3 linked regions of the Macaca mulatta genome follow. The protein of the gene in region 2 purifies or fractionates together with the protein of the main gene of each other region. This does not show direct contact. Links are inferred from orthologs where the notes say so. Each region holds a gene or a part of one and is shown on either strand. Other genes may lie near its edges.

Evidence for each region.
Region 1: the proteins of PSMB3 (region 2) and PSME1 purify together in Homo sapiens (affinity purification with mass spectrometry; 4 studies listed by BioGRID and IntAct, counting the BioPlex papers as one, with this or other methods). This does not show direct contact. The link is inferred for Macaca mulatta from reciprocal best matches to the Homo sapiens genes PSMB3 and PSME1.
Region 3: the proteins of PSMB3 (region 2) and PSME4 purify together in Homo sapiens (affinity purification with mass spectrometry; 3 studies listed by BioGRID and IntAct, counting the BioPlex papers as one, with this or other methods). This does not show direct contact. The link is inferred for Macaca mulatta from reciprocal best matches to the Homo sapiens genes PSMB3 and PSME4.

What each region holds. Positions count from the first base shown.
Region 1 is NC_133412.1:97,252,710-97,257,513, reverse strand, and holds PSME1 (proteasome activator complex subunit 1), read right to left. Parts: upstream 3,237-4,804; 5' UTR 3,168-3,236; coding exon 3,129-3,167; intron 2,446-3,128; coding exon 2,413-2,445; intron 2,291-2,412; coding exon 2,228-2,290; intron 2,114-2,227; coding exon 2,003-2,113; intron 1,915-2,002; coding exon 1,869-1,914; intron 1,735-1,868; coding exon 1,637-1,734; intron 1,388-1,636; coding exon 1,319-1,387; intron 1,241-1,318; coding exon 1,173-1,240; intron 1,090-1,172; coding exon 1,035-1,089; intron 961-1,034; coding exon 874-960; coding exon of another isoform or gene 866-873; intron 701-865; coding exon 620-700; 3' UTR 483-619; downstream 1-482. Other genes in the region: EMC9 (ER membrane protein complex subunit 9), read left to right, coding at 1-76, 240-426. UniProt on the Homo sapiens protein: Implicated in immunoproteasome assembly and required for efficient antigen processing. The PA28 activator complex enhances the generation of class I binding peptides by altering the cleavage pattern of the proteasome.
Region 2 is NC_133421.1:63,041,438-63,045,677, forward strand, and holds part of PSMB3 (proteasome subunit beta type-3), read left to right. Parts: intron 1-1,818; exon of another isoform or gene 1,819-2,246; coding exon 2,247-2,424; exon of another isoform or gene 2,425-3,555; intron 3,556-3,895; exon of another isoform or gene 3,896-4,191; intron 4,192-4,240. UniProt on the Homo sapiens protein: Non-catalytic component of the 20S core proteasome complex involved in the proteolytic degradation of most intracellular proteins. This complex plays numerous essential roles within the cell by associating with different regulatory particles.
Region 3 is NC_133418.1:70,690,559-70,695,274, forward strand, and holds the start of PSME4 (proteasome activator complex subunit 4), read left to right. Parts: upstream 1-1,677; 5' UTR 1,678-1,909; coding exon 1,910-2,151; intron 2,152-4,716. UniProt on the Homo sapiens protein: Associated component of the proteasome that specifically recognizes acetylated histones and promotes ATP- and ubiquitin-independent degradation of core histones during spermatogenesis and DNA damage response.

The sequences.
Region 1 (4,804 bases), on a different chromosome or scaffold from region 2:
TGCCTCAGCCTCGTGTGCCCCCGGTCATCGTCCTGGAGAACCAAGGTCTCCGCTGGGTCCCTAAGGATAAGAACTTGTGAGTACCCCACTCCCTCTCTCTCTTCTTAGAAGCCCAAGATTCCTGGGTCTCCTCTGTCCTTGGCCCTGCCCCAAGGGTCTTTCTCTAGACCCAATCTCTGTCAAGTCTGTGTCTGGCCCCACTACTTGCTGTTTGACCTCCATGGGGGTTGCTATTTCAGAGTGATGTGGAGGGACTGGGAAGAGTCACGGCAGATGGTGGGAGCTCTACTGGAAGATCGGGCCCACCAGCACCTTGTGGACTTTGACTGCCACCTTGACGACATCCGGCAGGACTGGACCAACCAGTGGCTCAACACTCAAATCACCCAGTGGGTTGGTCCCACTAATGGAAATGGAAATGCCTGAGCCAGGGCCAGCAGGGTCCAGATCCAATAAAGAGACTTGGGCTGATGGGCAGTGGTATAACTATATTTATTGTGCCTGGGAGGCAAGATGAGGGAAAAATCTCAACAGAAGCAAGTTTGGGGAAAATCTGGAGTCCCCAGTAAAAAGTAGGAAGGTCTCTGCTGTACCCATCCCAGAATGGGAGAGAGGGCTCTCAATAGATCATTCCCTTTGTTTCTCCCCTGGGCTTCTTGAGCTTCTCGAAGTTCTTCAGGATGATGTCATATAACACAGCCTACAGGGCCAGGGAGGAGTGGAGGTCAGTCAGAGGCCTCCAGTGGCTCTGTGCCCCATTTCTAGCCTTGTGGAGAAGCTGCACTTTGTCACCCTTTACCCCCAGCCTGCAGGGTCAGGGAGTGCGTGGCCTGGGAAAGCTGCCTCTGCCCACCCCTGCCCTCGCCTCCTCACATAAGCATTGCGGATCTCCATGACCATCAGCCGGATGTCCCGGTACTCTGCCTCATCCAGCTCGTGCACCAGCTGCCGATAATCACCCTGTGGGAAGCTCGGGTCAGGCCTGACCTTACATGAGTCCTTCCCTCATGCACCCTGACCTGGGCCTCACCTACCACATGGGGCTGCTTGGCTGCTTTAGTCACTGCATCACCACGCTCAGAGAAATACCTGTGGAAGGAGAAGTGTGTATGGAGTAGAAGAAGGAGGTCTCTGTCCCAAAACAGACAGTGTGTACATGGGTGGTCACTCACTTAGAGATTTGGGTGTGGAAGCCTTCTAGCTTGGTGTGGAGGCTGGTCATCAGCTCAAACACCTTCTCCTAGGGAAAAAAAGCAAGGGGGAAAGTAGAAGGAAGCATGGACTAGAAAAGAGCAGGGAAGTGGGGCAGCACTCTCACCTGGACAGCCACTCCAAAATTGTTACCATCCTCAATCCGAGGTATCTGCAGCTGCAACCAGGTGGTGACCTGGGAAGAGGGAATGGCGTAATGCCACATCAGCCCTCTATCCAATTCCGTTTCATATTCTCCCTTGCTTCCCTCCCCACACTGGGTGGAGGCATGCCAGGTCTCTCCTGAGCCTCAGAGCCCGGACTTCTGGTTTCACTTGCTGTGCTCTCTCTTGCTAAAACCTGGCATGTGCCAGGCCCTAAATGGCAGGGACTAAGAGGACAATGGTTTGACTTAAAGCCTGAGAGTTGAAGGGGGAGAGCCTACCAGGTTGAGCTGCTCAATGACATCCTTGATCTCAGGCTTCAAGCGCTGCAGAAGGACCAAGATCTTTTCATTGCAGTTCACTGGACCACAGGGAGGACCTAGAGAGTGAGCAATGGGTCAGTCACATGATTGAGCCTGTGTGAGGGTTGAAGGGGAGAGTAGAAAGAAATCCTTAGGAGGAGCTCCTGTGGGTGGGACTCAAGTCTCTTCCCACAATTGTGGTTTCAAGTACCTTTGTCTTCATCCTCCCCCTTCTTCTTTTCATCCTTGTCTTCCTTCTGCAGAAAAAGAGGGGCTCATGAGAGTCAGGACTAAGGTTGATTACCCCCATGGTTGGATCCCTTCTCCCAGGTCTTCCCAGCTTGCCTCCTGCTGTTTCTTCCGTTCCTCTTTCTCTTTCTCCTTGACTGGATCAGGCACTGGGATGTCCAACGGGGCCTTCAGATTGCTCAGGTTGGCTTCATTGAGAGCTGGCTCCTGGTGTAGGGTGGGAGGAGGGCTGGAGGTGAGGGGGTTCCTTTCACCTCACTCTCACAGCCCCTGACCCTTCTCTTGGCCTTTACTCCCTAGCTCCCTGCCCAGCCGCGGTACCTTTAAAAATGCATCCAGCTCAGAAATCTTCTTGGGGAAATAGCTCCCGAGCAGGTTCTCTGTCTGTGTGTGAGGTGGGATGGAGAAGGATGGGAGTCAGCATCAAATGCCCATCCTAGGTGGTGAGGCAGGGTTGAGCAGTAGGAGTTGGGCAGGGGTGGGGCCGCTGATGGGGCATGTCTTACCTTGGTACAGAGGTCTTCACGAAACACATCCACCTGTGGGGCACATGCATCCCTTCAGAAACTTGGCTTTAAGGCCAGTTCATTTGAGGACAGTTCCCTTAGGGTTATGTAGGGCCTGACCTGGGGAAGGGTGGAGGGGATCCCTCTAAGGCCAGACCTGAAGAAAGCGAGATGGATGCCTGTGGGGTGGGTTGGGGTGGTGGAGGAGTGGAACTCTGCAGACCTGGATCTACGGAGAGTGGAATGGGTATCCCTAGGGCTGGATACGGGGGATGAGAACATTCCTGGCAGTGAAGGGCCAGTGGTTCACGTGAGACCAGATCCCTGGGGTCGCCTGGCAGGTGTGAGGAGGGGTGCTGAGAGCCCTCTGCGAGCAGGACAGGGACGGGGTGGGCCCCGGGACCCTCCCTAAGGGAAAGGCCACGAGGTAGCTGGGGCAGTCCCGCATCCAGTCTGTGTGTGGCCCCGGCTCCAGGCCAGCGGAGTTCCCCTCCACGCCAGCTCTCCGCTTCACCTCACCCCACAGAACCACGGCCGCCTCGCCTGTCCCCGCAGGCAGCAGTCACCGCCCTCCCCGGGGCGCAGGTGCTCCGGGAGCGCCAGCTCGGCGGACTGCCCCTGACTTGTGTGGGAGTCTGGGGGGCGGGTCGGGGATGCCCCCGGCCGCTCGAGCCACGCCTCCCCAGTGGGCCCTTTCTAGACCCCGCGGCGCTCACCTTGGCTTGGGCCTCGGGCTGGACCCTGAGCGTGGCCATGACCGGGACGGGGGGCCTAGCGCCGCACGAGGAACGGAGTGGGCACCGCGAAGGGAAAGCGAAAGCGGCGCTCGCACCACTCACGGCCTTCCTGGGTAGTGGGGCGGGGAGGGCTGGAGGAGGCGGGGTCAGCCCGGCCAGGGAGAGGTGCAGTGCAGCAGAGGAGGGCGGCGGGTGCGGCTCCCCCTAGCGCGCACAGGCTGCCTCGCGAGGGCCAGTTTCCAGCCTCCCCACCCCCGCCGGCCGGGTCCCCGCCTCCCCGCCCTCCTCTCGTCCCCGCCTCCCGCCTCCCGCCTCCCGCCTCCCGCCTCCCGCCTCCCGCCTCCCGCCTCCCGCCTCTCGCCACTCGCCGCCCGCCGTCCGAGGACGCCGGGTCCTCCCATCGTCTAGTCTAAGCCAGTCTCTCCGCGCCCCGCCCTCCACCTTCCGCCTCCCAACTGGCTCCCCACCTGCTCTCTTCTTCCCCTGCTCCGCCTGGGACAGATAAGTCTTACTTAGGGCTCTTCTGTCTTTCCCCAGAGATGGAATAAGACCTGGCCTCTCTTTCCTAGCCTTGCTAGCGTGGGCCTCTGGCTCTGCCGACATCCTCCGCACCTGTAGCAACACCGGCACCAGAGCCGACAGCATCCCTATCCAAGCCCGGACCAGCTCTCTCCTGGACCACCGCGGCATATGCCATTCTACAGCCCACTCTCACAGAGCAGCGGGTTCATGCCTCTGTCTGGCTTAAAACCCTTTCTCAGCTGCCTGTTGACCTTAGAATGAAATCCAAAAGGCTGTTGCAGCTGTCTCCCCTTTAAGTTCACTTTCTACTACTTGCCCCTTCATTCATTACACTTGCAAATACTCGGGCTATTTGTTTCCCAAATGTGTCATGTTCATTCCTGCCTCAGGGCCTTTGCCCTTGCTAATAATCCCTTTGTCTAAAACACACTTACCCTGGGTGTTGTCATTCGGTTCTCAGTTTAGATGTCACCTCTTCAGAGACAACTATTTTCATCATCCTCTATAAGGAACCTCCCTCCAAATGCATTACAAATCAGCCTGTTTTAGTACATTCATAGCATTTATCTCTGATATTAGCCCGGTTTTTTTTTTTTTCTCCCCAGGATAATTCACTGATTTAAACCAGCAAACTGTGTGTGTGTGTGTGTGTGTGTGTGTGTGTGTGTGTGTGTGTGTGTGTGTTGGGGGACAGAGTCTCACTCTGTCGCCCAGGGTGGAGTGCAGTGGCACAATCTCAGCTTACTGCAACCTCCACCTGCTGGGTTCAAGCGATTCTCCTGCTTCAGCCTTCGCAGTAGCTGGGACTACAGGCGCGTCCCACCACGCTCGGCTATTTTTGTATTTTTAGTAGAGATGGGGTTTCACCATGTTAGCCAGGATGGACTCGATATGCTGACCTCGTGATCCGCCCGCCTCGGCCTCCCAAAGTGCTGGGATTACAGGCATGAGCCACTGCGTCTGGTCAGCTTTTTCTATAAAGAGCCAGAGAGTAAATTGTAGGCTTTATGGGCCTTACAGTGTCTGTCTACTCAACTCTACCATTGTAGCAGGAAAGCTGCCATATGTAAATGAATTAGTATGGTGAGATCAATAAAACTTTACAGACACTGGACTGAATTTCATGTAATTTT
Region 2 (4,240 bases):
GTCCTGCCAGAAAAATCACTGATTTCAGATGGGCTCATAGAGGAAGCTCCCGGCAATAGTAGCTAAAAATCCAAAATTTTTCAGGTAACCTAATGTATTTTTATTCTTTTCAATAAGAGTAAGTCATTTATTATTTTTATTTTTTATTATTATTTTTTTGAGACAGAGTCTCACTCTTTTGCCCAGACTGGAATGCAATGGTGCGATCATGGCTCACTGCAACCTTTGCCTCCTGGGCGCAAGCAATCCTCCTGCCTCAGCCTCCCGAGTAGCTGGGACCATAGGTGCATGCCACCACACCTGGCTAATTTTTAAATTTTTTTGTAGAGACAGGGGTCTCACTTTGTTGTCTAGGTTGGTCTTGAATGCCTAGGCTCAAGCAATCCTCCAGCCTTGGCCTCCTCCCTAAGTGCTGAGATTACAAACGTGAGCCATCGTGCCTGGCCTAAAAAAGTTATTTTCATGGTGGCTTATGCCTGTAATCTCAAACTGTGTGTGTGTGTGTGTGTGTGTGTGTGTGTGTGTGTGTGTGTGTTTCTATTTAGAGCTATAACTGAAGATCATGCCCTTAGAAATGACTGTGATCCAGGCTGGGTGCAGTGGCTCACGCCTGTAATCCCAGCACTTTGGGAGGCCGAGGCAGGTGGATCATGAGGCCAGGAGATCGAGACCATGCTGGCTAACATGGTGAAACCCCATCTCTACTAAAAATACAAAACATTAGCTGGGCATGGTGGCGGGTACCTGTAGTCCCAGCTACTTGGGAGGCTGAGGCAGGAGAATGGCTTGAACCCACGAGGCAGAGCTTGCAGTGAGCCAGGATCATGCCACTGCACTCCAGCCTGGGCAACAGAGCAAGACTCTGTCTCAAAAAAAAAAAAAAAAGAAAGAAATGACTGTGATCCAATAAGACATATGGATAATATCTCTTTACTGACTCTATTGAGGATATTGGCCATTTGTTATTTGGTATTTTATACAGACACTCCTTACCTTATAACATGTTGTAAGTTTAAAATATTGTAATTTGAAATGGGTATTTTGTAGACATAGGATGCAAAAACACAAAACACTATATCCAAAAATTGCTCACAGCAGAACAGTGTAAATTATCTGTTGTTTCCTCTCGTGATTGTGTGGCTGACTGGGAGCTGCCGCTCATTGCCACTGTCCAGCATTAGGAGTGGGTTTGGTACCACATATTGCTAGCCTGGGAAAAGATCAAATTTCAAAGCATAGTTTCCGCTAAATGCCTATTACTTTGGAACCATCATAAAGTTGAAAAATTTTAAGTTGAACCATCATAAGTCAGGGACCATCATCTGTACATAAAGATCCCTAAGACTGATTTTTCGGCCGGGCGCGGTGGCTCAAGCCTGTAATCCCAGCACTTTGGGAGGCCGAGACGGGCGGATCACGAGGTCAGGAGATCAAGACCATCCTGGCTAACACGGTGAAACCCCGTCTCTACTAAAAAAAATACAAAAAAACTAGCCGGGCGAGGTGGCAGGCGCCTGTAGTCCCAGCTACTCGGGAGGCTGAGGCAGGAGAATGGTGTAAACTCGGGCGGCGGAGCTTGCAGTGAGCTGAGATCCGGCCACTGCACTCCAGCTTGGGCGACAGAGCGAGACTCTGTCTCAAAAAAAAAAAAAAAAAAAAAAAAAAAAGACTGATTTTTCTTAAAGATCAGTGTCTAAACAAATTTCTGATGAGCTGCCATTTCCTTTTGACAGACAATGAGAGTAACCCAGCCACTGAGTATCCCTCTGTGCCTTGCCTGTGAGGGGGCTCAAAACAAAACTTTGTGTTCAGTCTGAGTTATCTTGTATTATGTTTTAATGGTTTAGTTTTATTTTTCAGTGTTTTTCATATAAACTGCCTCCAATCTTTTCTCTAAAGGAGTAGAGGTATAAACATACACATAGAGGACTGAGTGATGGTAGGACCTTGGGTGAAGAGAGGGAGGATTAGAAGAACAATTCTGAAAGAAAGGAGGACAAGAGGGTCAGAGATGAGGAGGACAGAAAGGTCAGTGTTGAAGAAGAGAAAGTGAAGAAGTCTTAGAACATTGCTAGCTGGCAGGAGAAGCGAGAGGGGGCTGGCCTCGGGGAAAGGTCATCTTCCTAAACAGGTCCTCCGTTTCCCTTTGGGTCTGGGTCTAGGCCGGGGCCTTGTCTGAATAGGCTTGAACATGAAAGTGAGCATTCCTGAGTTCTGGTTTCTCTCTCTGATGCTGGCCCCCACAGGTTTGGCCCCTACTACACTGAGCCAGTCATTGCCGGATTGGACCCGAAGACCTTCAAGCCCTTCATTTGCTCTCTAGACCTCATCGGCTGCCCCATGGTGACTGATGACTTTGTGGTCAGTGGCACCTGCGCCGAACAAATGTACGGAATGTGCGAGTCCCTCTGGGAGCCCAACATGGTATGTTGGTGGCATGGAGTGGGACTGGGCTCTGAGGTACCCACCCTTGGTCATTAGGAAAAAAATGTGTTTATGTGGCAGGTAATGGGGGAAATGGTGCAGGTGGGAAAGCCGCAGCTGCTGCTCCTTGGAAGGGTATCCAGAAATTCCATCTGCCAGGGCTGACTGGCTCCAAAGGAGAGCGTCTTCTGTTGGGAAACCACAGTTAGATATTTGCCACAGCAGTAAGAATTCCTTACATTGGGTTTACAGGGTTCCCGCATCCATTCGTTGAGCAAACATTTAACTCAGTGTAGGGTTAGAGGCGGCTCAACAGAATGGGCTTTGGAACCAGGTTGTCTGGGTTGGAAACTTGGATCCACCCACCACGTTAGTTATTGTTCTTGGAGAAGCCAGTTTACTTCTCTGCCTCCACTACTTTGACTGTAAAATGGGGATAAGAAAGTCTACCTTAGAAGTGGTGCTGAGGAGGCCAGGGGCGGTGGCTCACACCTGTAATCACAGTATTTTGGGAGGCTGAGGCAAGCAGATCACCTGAGGTCGGGAGTTCAAGACCAGCCTGACCAACATGGAGAAACTGTCTCTACTAAAAAAAAAATGTCAAATTAGCCGGGCATGGTGGTGCACGCCTGTAATCCCAGCTACTCAGGAGGCTGAGGAGAATCGCTTGAGCCTGGGAGGCAGAGGTTACAGTGAGCCAAGATCGTGCCATAGCACTGCATCCTGGGCAACAAGAGCTAAACTCCATCTCAAAAAAAAAAACAAAAAAAAAAACCCACAGTGGTGCTGAGGAAAACAAATGAGTATATGTCCTGCCGAAGCGAGCAAAAAAACAAATGAGAAGAGATTATAGTGCTCGACAGCGAGGGTCGGCTGTCATTATTGAGTGTCAGTTCTCCTGGGCATTGGGGAAAGCAGGTACAGTCTGCTTTCAAGGGCCCACTGCAGTCCAGTGAAGCAAGACACACCCAAATACCATTAAACTGCAGTTTGTTGGGAAGAAGAGGAAAGAAGAGAGTCTGGTAGCAGAAGGAACAGCCTGTGCAAAGGTACAGGAATGGCCAGGTATGCTCAGTGACTGGAGAGAGCTGAACCTGGCTGAAGTGTGGGTTAAACATGGTGCGAAACGATGCTGGAGACTGAGATGAGACCTCAAAGGGCCTTGAATGCCATGCCAAGGAGTTTGAACTCTGTCCTCTGCCGTAAGGAACCTAGGGAATCAGGTGCCTTTAGGTGGACATGACAGGCTGTTATCGCCTGCAGGAGGCACTGAGGCCCTGAGCAAAGACAGTGGCAGTGGGGAGGCAGGAAGGCAGCTGTCAAGGGGACTTAGTCACTTAAAACAGAAGTGAAGGAGGTAGAGACAGAGGATGGCTGGATTCTCCAGCTAGGCTAGCCAAGACAGAATGTAGAAGGAACAGGTTTGGGGAAAGTGGGTTTGTGGTTGGAGACAGGTTGGGTTTTGAGGTACCTGTTAAGATATCCAGGATCAGAGCCCATCAGACAGCTGCTAAAGCACATGGGAACCAAATAGGGATTCTTCTCCCTATTTTACAGAGAAGAAACTGAGGCTCAGTGAAGGGACGTGCTATTTGCCCAATGTCACACTGCTGATTAGTAAAAGAAATTCAGGGCTTGACGTCTCTTTCACTTTCCTTTACATAATTCTGCTTCCTTCCAAGGAAGGAGCTGAGGGGGGCTTCCCACATCCTGGGAATCATCCCTTACTTCAGGCATGTCTTGAGGCCAGAGCTGGGAACCTTGAGCCTAGAAAAAAGAGAGTTAAGGGACAAAACCAAATCAGAGCCAGAGGCTG
Region 3 (4,716 bases), on a different chromosome or scaffold from region 2:
AGGGCCCTATTTTTTCATACTGTATATTTCCTTCCCTCCTGTCATCGCTAATCCATATCTCAGTTTAGATCCCCCTCCTGATACGTATGTCAACATACCCATCCCATAGGCATTCTGCCTCCCAAGCTGTTTCTGCTGTGTTCTTTATCTCATTGAAGGACTTCACCTATCTACCCAGCGTCATCTTGTCTCTTTCCTTTTTAATTTTCCACTTTCAGTCAACTACTAAGCCCAAGCCATTCTGCTGCAGTAGCTCTCAATTTCAACTGACATCCAGGCCATAATTATGTCACACCTTAAGGGGTCCTCCAGTTCCCAATCTTGTCAGTTGCAACCAATTTTCCAGACGAAGCCAGAGAGCCGGAGTGAATTTTTTTTTTTTTTTGAGACGGAATTGCGCTCTTTTTGCCCAGGGTGGAGTGCCCTGGCGCGATCTCGGCTCGCTGCAACCACTGCCTTCCGGTTTCAAGCGATTCTCCTACCTCAGCCTCCCGAGAAGCTGGGATTACAGGCGTCCGCCACCATGCCCGGCTAATTTTTTTGTATTTTTAGTAGAGACGGGGTTTCACCATGTTGGCCAGGCTGGTCTCGAACTCCTGACCTGGTGATCCGCCCGCCTCGGCCTGCCAAAAGTGCTGGAATTACAGGCGTGAGCCACCGCGCCCGGCCGCCAGAGTGATTCTTTAAAAATGTAAATTATATCATCCCACTGCTATGCTTAAAATCTTTTGGAAGTTTGTCTCTAGGATAAAGTTCTGAATTCCTTAGGATTTCCTTCTCAGTCTCATTTCTCCGTCCCCTCTCTTACGCTATTTTGAAATTTGAATTTTTAGAATACATGCTTGCAGCCTCAAGAGCTGTTCTCTCAGCTAAATACGTGTTCTCCTCCCTCCTTTTTCTAATCAACTTTGCACTCAACCCTTACAGCTTAATTTAAGTATCACTTCTAGGAAACTGACACCCTCTCAACCCCCTAGTTTGAACTTCTCTGTAGAGTTTCTAAGGCTTCCTGTACTTATCTAGCAATTAAGAGCATTATCTTGTAATTCACGTCTTTATCTCTGCTAGACTAAGTCCTTGGGAGGGCGGAAACCAGGGTAAACTTTCCATCTCAATAGCCTAAACGGAGTGCCTTACACACGAAACAGTCGTTCAATTAGCATTTATTCAGTGAGTTAACGATTTTCTTCCTTGGAATGATGGCGGCCAGAATACCAGAAAGATGGGGACTAAAAGGGGACAGAATAATTAAATCTATAAGGAACAAGCGGGAAGGAGTAAATAAATCTATAAGGAGCAAGTGGGTACGTAGGCTTTTCCATAAATCCCTGTAACCTAAAAGCCGGGGCTGCTCGGCTAGGGGGACCAGGCCGACCTGGCGAACCTGTCGCCGCGACTGGGGCTCCGGTGGGCGCCGCCTGGAGTGCGCGACCCCCGGCGAAGCAGGACAATAGCTTGGAATTCGGCCTCGTGTTTCCGGTGAGGCAGCCTCGCGCTGGGCCGGTGAGGCCCGGGGTGGGGGCTCCGAGCCGGGCCCACGGCAAGGAAGGCGCGGCCCGCTGGGCTCCAGCTGCCGCCACCACCGCCTCCCCCGACGCCGTCGCTCCGCCCCGCCCCGCCCCGGAAGTGACTTGAGACCGGTCCGGAACCTCTGAGCCCGGCGGCTGCAGCGTCACCAGCCGAGCCGGTGCGGGGCGGGCAGAGCGGCCGCTGCCGCCGCCAACGAACCGGGAACCGCGCGGGGCCCAGCAGCACGCCGGCCAGGGAAGGGGGCCTAGCGATCGGTCAGAGGGCGACGGGCCGCCGGCGGCCGCAGGGCGACGAAGACGCGGAGGAGGCGGAGCCCGGAGAGGGGTGGGGGTCGGGGAGGGTTAGGGTGGGAGGGGGTAGGGGGGGTGTCCCTGGGCTCATGGAGCTGGCCGAACGGGCGAGAGTCGGAGAGCCCCCGGAGCCGGGCGGGCGTTCCGAGCCGGGCCCGCGGGGCTTCGTCCCGCAGAAAGAGATCGTCTACAACAAGCTGCTGCCCTACGCCGAGCGGCTAGACGCCGAGTCCGACTTGCAGCTGGCCCAGATCAAATGCAACCTGGGCCGGGCGGTGCAGCTCCAAGAGCTGTGGCCCGGGGGCCTCTTCTGGACCAGGAAACTCTCCACGTAAGTGTGCCCGGGCCTGCAGGCCGGGCCGGGGGGAGAGGCTTAGTGAGAGGTGTCGGGGATGGGTGCTCTTTGTCCAGAGGACTGGACCCTTAGCTCTGTCCTCGCTGGAGCTGTCCCCGAGCGGTGGTCCCAGGGTCGTGACAGAGCCTGTGAAGCACTCAAGCTGTCCTCCCTGACACTTTCTTACCGGGATTCCCGGGTCCTCACCAGCCCTGCACGTCCTCTCCATCTGCTTCTCCCGAAGTGTTCGGGTTGTTGTCTTCCCACCTGGGGGGACCTGGGGAGCCCAAGGGCCCCGGCCCCGAGGGAGAGAGGTGAGCCTTTCCCAAGGGTCCTTCGTGGATCTTTGCGCATAGGAGAGGCGGGGCAGAGAGGATTTGCCTTTGGGGGAGTTCTGTGACTTCTCTCCCTGCTTCCTCCGGTTCTTCCTTCCCCTACGATCCCCGCCTCTTCACATCTCCGTTGGCGTCTAGTAACTTTCTGAATGGAAAGGAGACCATTGGGAAACTTAAGGGTTCTGCTTTTTTGGGGCCCGCTCAGACCTGGCGGAGTTGATCGAAAAGGTTGGTTTAAAGTCAGACTTCATTCTTGAGCTTAACGTCTTAGACGTTAATGTGGACAATGTTGTTTAAGATCCTAAGGATTGTGTGTTGTTCCTGTTGTGACATTTCTTTTGGAGAGGCCTTTAAGATACTGAGGAAAGTAGGGAAGAGTACTGTCAGGATGTCCACGGCGATACTCGTATCAGGCTTGTGTTAATATTTTGAGTTACTCAGATTAACATAGATTACCTGAATCAGTTTCAGGAGTTCTGTTTGTAAACTAGCTTCAAACTATAGTGTCACTGAAATTAGGAAAAAAACAAAAAACAAAGAATAAAAATACAGTGGGGGAGGAAAGGTTACATTTACCTGCTGGGTGGGCATCTTTACTGTGTCGGAAGAGCTTTTTAAGAAATAATTTTGCTGTATCTTGTTTGGTTAACTGTACATAAAATCTAGTAACATGGTATGTTCACGCATGTGGGTATGGATGGGTGAACACACAAGACCTAAGTCACTCATTCAGTGTTTACCCAAATCTACTGATTGAACTGAGTGATGACTCAGGGTTTTGTAATAGTTTTGTCCATATTTCTTCACTGGATGATTCTCGTCTGCCAATTATTAAGGAGCCTCTGACAAATTTCTCATTTCCACTTGAGGGGTGGGTGGGAACTAAAATTAAAAAGAAGCAAAACTGAAACATGTAATTTGCCCTCTTCAGAGAGTGATCATAAAATGTCAAGGTTAACAACTCTCCTCCTGACTACAGTATAAAGAAGTTTTTGGTGTTAACGATCCTTAGGAGAATGGGGGTGAGGGGCGGCAGAAGCAGGAATGCAACAGGGAGAACCACGTTTAGTCAAAAAAAGAATACTTCATAAATAGTTACAATCCAAATGCTTTTTGAAGTGAGACTCCTAGGTTTTTGTGTTACTCAGGCACAGTAAAAATAGTCACTTTGTTACAGTGATTCCCCATTTTAATCACTTGGATTAGACTTGCTGGGAGAATACCTACCATTTTTGGGGATGCAAACAGCTTTTTTTAGATATGCAGTATATACATATGCCATGGTGCGAAGGCATATCTGGTTTGGATTTATGAACCTAGAATCTACCAAGGCATACTTAAACATTGTTTTCTGAAGTATTTATTGTTATCAAGTTTGGTAAATTAGCACTCCGGGTTTTGTTATTTTGGCTTATTAGGTAAAAGTTTTTACTTAGAAAGGGCTAAAAATAACAGTGGAGCTAATGTTTGGTGTTTAGGGCTGGATTGCTGATGGCTTAATACCCATGAACCTATAACCATTTATATCTAAATAACCAACAAGAAATGCTATCGGGTAAAATTTTGTTTTGGTGTAATGGTTAAATGCTGGAAACTGATTCTTGGTATTGCACTATGAGACATTTTGAATGCAGTGGGACATGTTGTGATCTTGGGTGTGTTTTTTTCCTAAGTCATGTTAAGGTGACCTGTTTATAGTTGTGCTTGTTTTTTAAGCCTTCTGTGTTGCATAAGTGAACATCTGAATAATGCCAAAACGTGTGACGAAAGCTGAGTGGTGATCATATTTAGTACTTCGTAGAATAGAAAGTGGTAATGAAAAGAAATCTAGTTTCTCCCACTAGCCCTGAGACTGTGGGAAAGTTACTTAATCATGTGTTTCAGTATTCTTGTGCGTGAAATGAGGAGATTGGACTAAATAATTCTTTTTTTTTTTTTTTTTTTTTTTTTGAGGTGGAGTCTTGCTGTTTCCCAGGCTGGAGTGCAGTGACGGGATCTTGGCTCACTGCATCCCCTGCCTTTGGGGTTCAAGTGATTCTCCTGCCTCAGCCTCCCAGGCAGGTGGGATTATAGGCGAGTGCCACCACGCCTGGCTACTTTCTTTGTATTTTTAGTAGAGAGAGGGTTTCACGATGTTGGTCAGGCTGGTCTTGAACTCCTGACCTCAAGCAATCTGCCTGCCTCGGCCTCCCAAAGTGCTGGGATTACATGTGTGAGCCACCGCACC